Linked DNA regions of Mus musculus. The protein of the gene in region 1 interacts with the protein of each later gene in a pairwise test. Links are inferred from orthologs where the notes say so. Each region holds a gene or a part of one and is shown on either strand. Other genes may lie near its edges.

Region 1 (4,950 bases):
TCTAGTCTTTTCCACTTGGATTCTGGTCACAGCCTAAGTGTGAGAAGTTTTTGTTTGTTTGTTTGTTTGTTTGTTTTGTTTTGATCAAAGATGGCTAGCTTGCCCAAGGTCCAGTATTCCATAGTCCGTGCTCCCAGCCCCATCTTGGGACACTCTTGTAGTTTATGTCAAACCCCAAATACCAGGCATTTTTTGATACTTGCTGGTCATAAGCTTCCTCTTGGTGTGGTTTATGATGTGCCAATCCCATCAGAATGACGCTGAGCTCCTACCAACGGGATGAGTCACCTGATAGCACGATAGCACGTGTGTCAGAATGGAATGGAACGGAACGGAAGTACCCTTGCAGCTTGCGTGTGCTTGTCTGCCAACTTGGGGTCACTGCCTTCCTGGTTTACTTTCACTTGGTTCACACGCAGGGATATTCTTTCCCAACACAAGTATGCTTTCAACTTTCCTGTACTGGGATCCCTTGCTCATGCGCTGAAGGCCCCCTGCCTGCTCGTGGCCGACCTCCACACTGGCTCTCCCACACCACCATGCCTCTTCCCTTCTTCGTTCTCCTCCCGGCAGCTATGAGTTACAACTTGCCTGCCGTTCCCGCCCCCACCCCCAACCCTGGCCCCACTGCCCGCCCTCAGCTCTCTGTATCAGTTCTTAGATGCTTTCATTCACGTGACCATAAAACCCCAAGAAGGGACCCTGATCCCACAGTATCACATTGGCTCTGACGGACTCCCCAAGAGCCTCACTAACAAATCCTCCTGCATGTTTTTTGGTTAGGTTTTATTGCTGTATTGTAAAGACCATACCCAAGAGCAATTTGGGAAGGAAACTGATTTATTTGCTTTACAGATTACAGTCCAAAGACATTTTTAAAAAGAACTGAAGTAGAAGCCACGGAGGGAACGCTGCTTATTGGCTTGCTCCCTGTGCTTACAGCACCCAGGACCACAGGGGGAGGCCCCACCCACAATGGGCTGGGCCGTCCCACATCAATCATGAATCAAGCAAACGACACCAGTCTTGCCTACAGGCCATCCGATGGAAGCACCGAGTCCTTTTCCTAGATATCTCTAGTGTGTATCAAGCTGACAGGGGAAAACAAAAATAAGTCCAGCCAACAACAAAACCCACCAGGACCCAGCCTTTTAGGGTATTAGAGAAAACAAATTAGTTTCAGAACCAGAGATGGCACCAGACTATGTATAGATTTGTAAGATGTGTAAAAAGATGACATATGCTCTTTGTGGGTCGCGTTGGCACACGCCTTTAAGGCCAGCACTCAGGAGGCAGAGGCAGGCAGATCTCCCGAGTTCGAGGCTAACCTGGTCTACACAATGAGTTCCAGGACAGTCAGGGCTACACAGAGAAACCCTGTCTTTCTTTCTTTCTTTTTTTTGGGGGTGGGGGGTTTCGAGACAGGGTTTCTCTGTGTAGCCCTGGTTGTCCTGGAACTCACTTTGTATGTAGACCAGGCTGGCCTCGAACTCAGAAATCCACCTGTCTCTGCCTCCTAAGTGCTGGGATTAAAGGCGTGCGCCACCACGGCAGGATGAGAAACCCTGTCTTGAAAATTCACAAAACCAAAACCAAATCAAACCAACAAGAAACCCCAACTCCGTTCTTTCCCAGCGACAGAGAAATAACTAGAGCAAAGAGGAGAACAATAAAACTGCTTCCTGGAGAGAACTCGACATGGGGTCGCGAGGACATTTTAATCTCTCAGTGTCCTCGTGACGCTGGTAACGCCAAGTAAGACTCCAGTGCCTGGCGACGGCTCGCCCTGGAACGAGACGGCCACTCAGCCTCAGTTCCGATGGGAACCAGAAGCAGCGCGAGGCGGGATCACCGGCCCTTCCGGGTTGCAGACACGCCCCCTCCGGCGTGAAGTCGCTGCCGGGGCAACAGCGCGCCACTTCCGCCTCTGAGCGATGACGTATTTCCGATGCGCCGGTAAAGGCCACATCCGGGTTTGGGCTGGCGGGACCCTCGCAGATTCGGGGACGCTGGGCGAAGGCTGTGTGGCTCTCGCGGATGCTGAGCGAGGTGAGCAGGCGGCGGGGTGGCGTCCCGGGAGCGCGGGCTGAGGCTCCGAGGCTCCGTGACGACGGCTTTACGGTTTCCCTGCGCTCCGGGCCCGCTGCTGACATTGAGCTGAGCGTCTCCTGTCCCCTGTGCTGGGGAGGTGGCGGTGCTGTAATTGAGTGGGCCTAGGGCTTCCTGCTCCTTTGAGGAAACTCAACATGTGCTGGTTGCTGGGGTCGGAACCTGTTGAGTTTCGCCGGTGCATAGTGAGGAGGAGGAGGAGGAGGAGCAGCGGGGGGGGGGGGGAGCTGTTAGTCACCGCGGAGCCGTTTTCACGCTGTCAGTCACTGGTGTCACATAGTGAGGATGTTACTGTGCAATGCACACAGTGTCGGGTCGGGACCTTTGAATGTGATAACCACACTCACAGGTGTTCATAGAGGCGCGATTTAGACTCAGGCTGGGGTGTTAAGTGTTAATGATTTTCACAATCATTTTGAAGGATTCACTTCGCAGTCCTGACTTGTAATGAGTGTGAACCTGAAACCCGATCATGGAGTGGAAGAAGATGCTTTTTTTTTTTTTTCCTTTTTCCTCCCTTTCCCCCCGTTTCTGTTTTTTGTTTGTTTGTTTGTTTTGTTTTTTGTTTTTGTTTTCAAGACAGAATTTCTCTTTAGCAGCCAGCCCTGGCTGCCCTGGAATTTGCTTTGTAGACCAGGCTGGCTTTGAACTCAGACCCCCCTGGTCTCTGCCTCCCTACTGCTAGAGTCAAAGATGTAAGGGTGCTGTTTCTTGAGCACCTACTGGGAGCGGAGCTTTCGTTGTTGTTTTGTCGGTTTTGAGACCAGGCTGGCTTTGAACTTAGAGAGATGGATCTGCCTCTCTGCCTCCAAAGTGTTGGAGCTTTTGTTTTTCGAAAGTATCATCTTAATCAGTCCTTACAAGCTTCTCCTGGAACTGAATGAATGCAGTTATGAGAGAGAGAGATGAATAGCTACCTGGGTAGAACACTGTTTTTTCCCTACCCTCTAGGAGTGACTGCAAAGTGGCATTCAGAAAGACTGCAACCTTCCAGTACCGTAGAAGCCGTTCAGGGAAGGAAACCTTCAGTCCCGTGGAAATAGTATTTCAGAAAATGCTCTGAAGTTTCCCTGGAACTGCAAATTGGCTAGATACAACTTTTCCTGGAGAAGTAAAAAGACCAACCTGGTTTCTGAGGTAATAACATTTAGAGCTGTTGCTTCCTTTCTGTGGCATATGTGCCTGTCATTCTGTGGCCCCGCCCCACGCGTGCATGGTGATTGACTCTGACAAGGCATTGTGCGTTAGGCCCCCTTCGGATGGCTGGGTCTGACTTGTCTCACTTGTCACGGAGCTGGTCATTTTGCCCTTTGTTTAATGGCTGCTTTACTGAGTTGGATCATGAGGCTCATTAATAGCTTTTTGACACTGGCGGATCTTCTGCTAGCCCCAGGTTCTCACAGTGCTGTTCTTGTCACCGTCCTCTAGTGACTGGCCATGTCTCTGTCCCACTTGTACCGGGATGGCGAAGGCCACCTTGATGATGACGATGACGATGAGAGGGAGAACTTTGAGATCACCGACTGGGATCTCCAGAATGAGTTCAACCCCAACCGGCAGCGCCATTGGCAGACCAAAGAGGAGGCCACCTACGGGGTGTGGGCGGAGCGAGACTCGGACGAGGAGAGGCCCAGCTTTGGAGGCAAAAGGTACTGTGTGCTGGGCTGCATGCCCTGGGTCTGGAGGATCGGGAAGGCATCCCAGAAGAGTTTTCTGCCCTTGTAGAGTCCGGGTGCTACAGCATCTTGCTATGTGTTGTTGAGCTGGGGTGGCGAGCTCCCCCTCAGCAGTTACTGTGTGATGGGATCAGGGCTACTTATGGATAGGGAAGTGCTGACCCACCACAGGCATGGCAGCTGTGGGGCCATGCTGTGTCAGGGAGCACTCACAGGGCACTAGAGAACAGGGAGTTTAGAGAGGGTGCTCTGGAGAAAACGCTGTTGGACCAAACGGAGGTAGAAAAGTGAGTAGGTCCACAGGGGAGAGTGGTAGTACAGCCTGGGGTCCACATTAAGATGCTGTCTCAAGTCTCCCCACCTAACTACACTCAGAATGTTTTGATTAATTTTACTTAGGATTTTTATCTGTTTGAGTTGTTCTGACTTTTATCCTTGAAATAGTATCTAAAACAAACACTGTGTGTGTGTGTGTGTGTGTGTGTGTGTGTGTGTGTGTGTTTACAGGCATGCTAGATAAGTGCTGTACCACTCTAAAGCAAAGCAGACACTAAGCTAACACAGTCTTTTCAGTTGTAAAAGGGGGCCCAGTTTGATGCCTCGGAGGTTGTTGCCATGCACACCTGGCTAGCTGGGTTCAGTCACCAGATTCCTACAGGGAAGGGGAAAGGGACGAGATGCTCTACAAATTGTCTGCACAGAGCAATAATGGCATTTTTGAAAGCGTCCAAAGGAAGTAAGATTATTACATCCTAGTCTGAATTTATACTCAACCCTACTGACAGTGGCAAATCTTCAGTTATAGTTTGAATCGAACAGACCCCACGAGTGTAAAATGTGGGCTGGAAGAGGACCCAGGAGCAATTGAGATTGAACTCAATTGCTATTGCAGACCTGAGTGTGGCTCCCAGCCAGTGCCCACCTCAGGCAGCTCACAAGTGCCTCTAATTCCATCTTCAGGGAATCGAGCCTTTGGCTCATCGGGCACCCACAGTGTCATGTGGTTAGGCCCCCCCCCCATATAATATTTTTTAAATGTTAAATGTAAGATTATTGAGGGCCTCTCTCTCTAAGGAATTCTCTTTCGAGCAGCTTCCAGGACAGGGTGTTGCAGAAGCGTTCTTTATGGACTTGGAGGCTCTGTGTGTGTCTGTAGGGCCCGAGA
Region 2 (4,680 bases), on another chromosome or scaffold:
GGCCAACTAGGAAATAGTTGTATTTAGTTAATCCCTCTTATAGTTTAAAAAAGTTTAGGGAAAGCTATGTGTGCAAGCATGGGAACAGGATGGCAATGGGAGGCTTTGAACTTTCTTCTCTTGGATATGAACCCATAATTAGTCTAAAACAAACCTGTCTTTAAAAAAAAAACAACAAAATCGCCAGGCGTGGTGGCACATGCCTTTAATCCCAGCACTCGGGAGGCAGAGGCAGGCAGATTTCTGAGTTCGAGACCAGCCTGGTCTACAAAGTGAGTTCCAGGACAGCCAGGGCTACACAGAAAAACCCTGTCTCAAAAAAAAAAAAAAAAAAAAAAAATCAATGAATGAATAATTGCCCCCCCTCCCCACCCCAAGAGATCTAATCTAAAAAGCCAAAGAAAACTGGATAGGCTTTGAGCTGTTTCTCATGGATCTCGAACAAAGATGCCCTAGTACAAAGAAACCCAGGAACAAAACTGGAGCTAGGAGAGTGAGCGGAGGAAGAGGGCCACCCTCGGTCCACAAGGAAAACACTCCAAGCTGGGGAGCAGGGTTAGCAGAGCCTCACCTCTTCTCTGAGCTCCTTCATCCTTTCCTCAAAATCATAATCTTTCTGCTTCTCTTCCATCTTCTTCTTGTTCACCTCAAAACGCTTCTTTACCTGATCCAGAGTGGAGCGTTCCACGCGCATGGACATACCCAGGTTTCGCTGATCTGGGTGAGGTTAACAACGGAGACAAGTCATTATAACATCCTCAGCCACCCCCCCCCCCCCCGGGAAAGTCTCGCCCTGGCTTTTTTAGGTTTGTTTACTTGTTTACCTTTTCATAATAAAGTACACAACAAAAATAACTATGGCTAAAAGAAGCTCTCAGCCTCACCTGCTCCTATTTACTGGGCAGATTATCATCAAGGCCAGCCAACGTCCTCCTCTGGCCTCTGTGGTCATGCACAGGTAGCACACAGCCAGGGATACTCAGAAGCAAGCAAGCAAACAAACGAACAAACGAAAGGCCCCAGAAAACCACTCTACCACACCTGCCCTCCAGCACACCTTTAAAACCCAACCCAGCTCCAGCCACCAACTACCTCCATGCCTTACGTTTCTTTCCATTAATGTGGTCCAGGAAGTTAATGGAGTCTTTCACCACACAGTCACAGACATTGCAGTAGTAGCTGACAAATGGGAAGAAACAGCACATGGGTCAATCTGGTTTCTAAGGATCTTACTGTTTTCAGGAAAGAAACTCAAATCTCTAGGTAAAATTAGATGATGTCTAATTAATGTCTCAATTAACAAAACAGACAAACTTCACATGACTTGCTTTAGGGAAAGTCCCTCTTTACACTTCATTGTGAATGACCTTACAAGCAGGCCCAGAGAATAAACTTGAGCCTCCGAACCACAGGCACGGGAGGGCCTGGAAGAGGACCTTCTAACTTTATTTAAGCCCCAACGAATGCAAACCTAGTCAATTCCACAACTGCGGCTTTATTAGAGACCCAGGTCCAGAACCTCCAAGGTGACCACCCCTCAATTCCTTGCCCACAGAAACTATGAGCTATTATTATGTTATGCTGCTAACTATTTAATGTACACAGCAAAGGAATCACAACAGTGGATTGCTATCTGTCTGAGTCTCCTGATGTAAGTTGTAACTTTGACAGACTTTAAGGAATGGTGGCAAAGGGTGACAAGGTCCGTGAAACTCTTCGATAGGTCACAATCTTGGTGCACAAAAACTATAGTTAACAGCTCCACCTAAAACCCACCCCGAGCCTTCAGGTCTTCTAACAGACTATATAGCCCCCCTGAAGATATCAGGGAAGTATTACAGTACCAATAGGAAGAAGCCCAGAGAACCACCCCTCCTAGAAATAGGACCGAGTGGGCTACAAACTTCAGGGGACAAAGAAAGACAAAGAATCAGGTTATGGTCAGAACGGTGGCCATCCCTGGGCCCAGGATTCTCCTCAACACTTCCTAAAAACCAATACAGTTTATTAGGCCAGCTGTGGTATTAAGAGTCGGACAGGAAGCAACTCACCCTCCCATTTCAGACTGTGGGGTCGTCTTGGTGATAACAATCGTCTTCCCCAGCTTGGACTCCAGGTCCACCTTGTAATCCCTGTGCCGCAGAAGCTCCCGCTTGACAGGCTGCACTGGTTTCCCTGAAAGGAAAAAGATTATGAACCCCAAAATTCAGAAGACTACTCATGCTTTTTTTTTTTTTCTTTTTAATTCCTCAAAGAACGGACACAACAGGTACTTTATGTAGCAATTCAAAGAGGCTAGGAAAGACTCTAATTGGCCTGGACTTATATAGACATAGGCCTGGTCACTATGTGGACCAAGCTGGCCTCAGACTTGCAATGGTACTGCCAACTCTCAAGAGCTTTTCTCCCTTTAAAGCCAGCAAATGTAAACAGTGTTTCCTATGTGTTGTCTAGTTGAACTGAGGAGTTCTGAATTTTTCCTGGAGGTGACCCTTTCAAAAGAGGGGTACTCACACCGAGTAGCGTATGTTCAATGTTTTCATGCAGTTACATCTGGAATCAACTAAGACCCAAGCAGCTGGACACGCTTGTTTGGGAGGTTTTGATTTGATTTGATTTGGAATATGGGCTACGCCTAGGGGAAGCTCACGTAAAAAGGAGAGGAAAAAGCTTTAGGGCTTTTGTTTTGTTCTGTTTTGTTTTGTTTTGTTTTGTTTGCCTCGTTAACTGCAAGTGATTTATCTATCCTGTTGCTGAGGCATTCCTTCTCTAGCCACAGCATCATCTCTACCGTCCCCTTATCCCTTCGTGGAGCGAGCACCCACCATCCTTCTTCTCTCTCTCCTCTGTGAGTCTCTTCTCCGCGAGCTTCTCATATTCATCTTTGTCCCACTTTCGGCGAAAGTCCAAGTTTTTTGTCTGTAGGGGGGGAAAAGGTGCTCAAGATACGTAGCTGTGCCTGTTGCCCTGGAGAAACTAAGGGAACCGCCTAACGGCCACCGGGGCGGCCCCAGGACCTTTCGGAAGAGAAGTCTCTCTGGAACGCCCAGGGGTCTGGTGGACTCGGGACCCCCAACCCGAGAGACTTCCGAGATTCCACTGTCCCTGCGCCAAGGCCTTACGGGGGAGCTCTCGAACCTGAACCCTGAGATCGCGAAGAGGTGTCAGGAAGTCAGTCAAATCTCACAGCCTGTCTCTATTTAGCTCTGAAAAGCCATCCCCCAGACCCCTCAAACCTCGTCACACCAACACCTACCCCGCTGCCAGACGCCATCTTCACAGCGAAGTGAATGGGAAGCCGTAAAGTGCAGTAAAACGCGCCCTGGAGCCAGAAGGCAAGATCACGCTCCAATAAGATCCGAGCCTCTCATTCTGACTGCGTTAGGACTGGAGCGATTCTAAGGCAGTCCTGTTGGCCCCGCCCTCTGCTCCAGGGAGATGGCGCAGGCGCAAAGGGAGTGTGAAGCTACACGGAAGTAAGGGCACGGGCCAACGTTTTTCTCTCTGGCTTTAAAAACAAGCCCAGAAGAATAGCTCATCTCTTCTATTATGCAAAGAATCAGAGTTTTGAAAATAGTGCTCCATGATCTAACCAACTTTACCTGATTTCTAGGGGTTTCTTTGTTTTGTTTTGTTTTTTACCGGATTTCTAGTTTTGGTTGTTTTGGTTTTTTTTTTTTTTTTAAAGACAGGTTCTCAGGTAGCCAAAACTGAACTCTAATTGGCTATATAGTCTCTAATCTTGAACTTCTGATCTCTCCTGCCTCTACTTCCCAAGTGCTGAATTTATGGGGCATGTACCACCACGACCGGTTCATGTGGTCCTAGAGGCTTCATTCATGCTATCAAGCTCAATTCTACCAATTGAGCTAGGTTCCCTGCTAGGCAATTTCCTGCCTAGCAAACCTCTTCCACAAACAACATATTTTAAGCACTCGTTAGAGTGGCGAATGCTTCATTCTAGGGTGTTGGCTGATTCTGTTTTCAAGATTAAATTGTACTGTATAAATGAAATGAGTTTAGATGTTCTCCAGACATCAAAATGAGTTTAACCAAAAAGTAGCACTAATTTTTTTGGCGGCGCAGGGGTGGTGGTGGGGGTCAGGGGTAGTAGTGGTGGAGGGGACAATGTAAAACTACTTGTCTTCTGTGCATAATTTAGAGCCACATTCATAGTACATGCTGGTGAATGGGGCATCTACAGTCACAAGTGTTTTAGTCTTTAAAATACGGTTTGCTAGGCAAATTAGAGTTCAGTTTTGGCCTGAACTTATTGCCACCACTTTCTAAGAGGGATTACAGGGATTATAGGTGTGGTATGTTTGTAGACAAGGTCTCACTATTTGGCCCTGGCTGGCCTGAAAATCTCTTTGTAGAGATTCCTTGGTATATTACTAGAGTCACAGGACCTCTGCCCTTCTGTGTTCCCCTAAAGACCTCCCTCTTTGAGGCTGCGTTCCCCAAATTCCCCCTGCATCTTACCCTCTTCATCTATCCAACCTGCTGTCTAAACATTAAACCCCTCTTATGTCCTGCTAGTTTTAATCTTTACTCTTATTCAAGTGACCCTACACTCAAGAGATTCCCCTGCCTCTGCCCTACCACTTCACTGCTGAGATTAAATGTATGTAGCGTCAGGCAAAGGGTCTTTTGTTTTGTTTTGTTTTGTTTTATTGAGAG

What was found. The genes of interacting proteins can lie anywhere in the genome.
Region 2: the proteins of Tfip11 (region 1) and Zmat2 interact in binary tests that used the Homo sapiens proteins (3 or more experiments, as listed by UniProt). The two-hybrid records come from large-scale screens. The link is inferred for Mus musculus from reciprocal best matches to the Homo sapiens genes TFIP11 and ZMAT2.

Annotation. Positions count from the first base shown.
Region 1 is NC_000071.6:112,324,425-112,329,374, forward strand, and holds the start of Tfip11 (tuftelin-interacting protein 11), read left to right. Parts: upstream 1-1,944; 5' UTR 1,945-2,049; intron 2,050-3,060; 5' UTR 3,061-3,246; intron 3,247-3,537; 5' UTR 3,538-3,546; coding exon 3,547-3,758; intron 3,759-4,941; coding exon 4,942-4,950. UniProt on the Homo sapiens protein: Involved in pre-mRNA splicing, specifically in spliceosome disassembly during late-stage splicing events. Intron turnover seems to proceed through reactions in two lariat-intron associated complexes termed Intron Large (IL) and Intron Small (IS).
Region 2 is NC_000084.6:36,792,536-36,797,215, reverse strand, and holds the start of Zmat2 (zinc finger matrin-type protein 2), read right to left. Parts: upstream 3,294-4,680; 5' UTR 3,275-3,293; coding exon 3,257-3,274; intron 2,920-3,256; coding exon 2,826-2,919; intron 2,176-2,825; coding exon 2,052-2,175; intron 1,180-2,051; coding exon 1,106-1,179; intron 718-1,105; coding exon 572-717; intron 1-571. UniProt on the Homo sapiens protein: Involved in pre-mRNA splicing as a component of the spliceosome.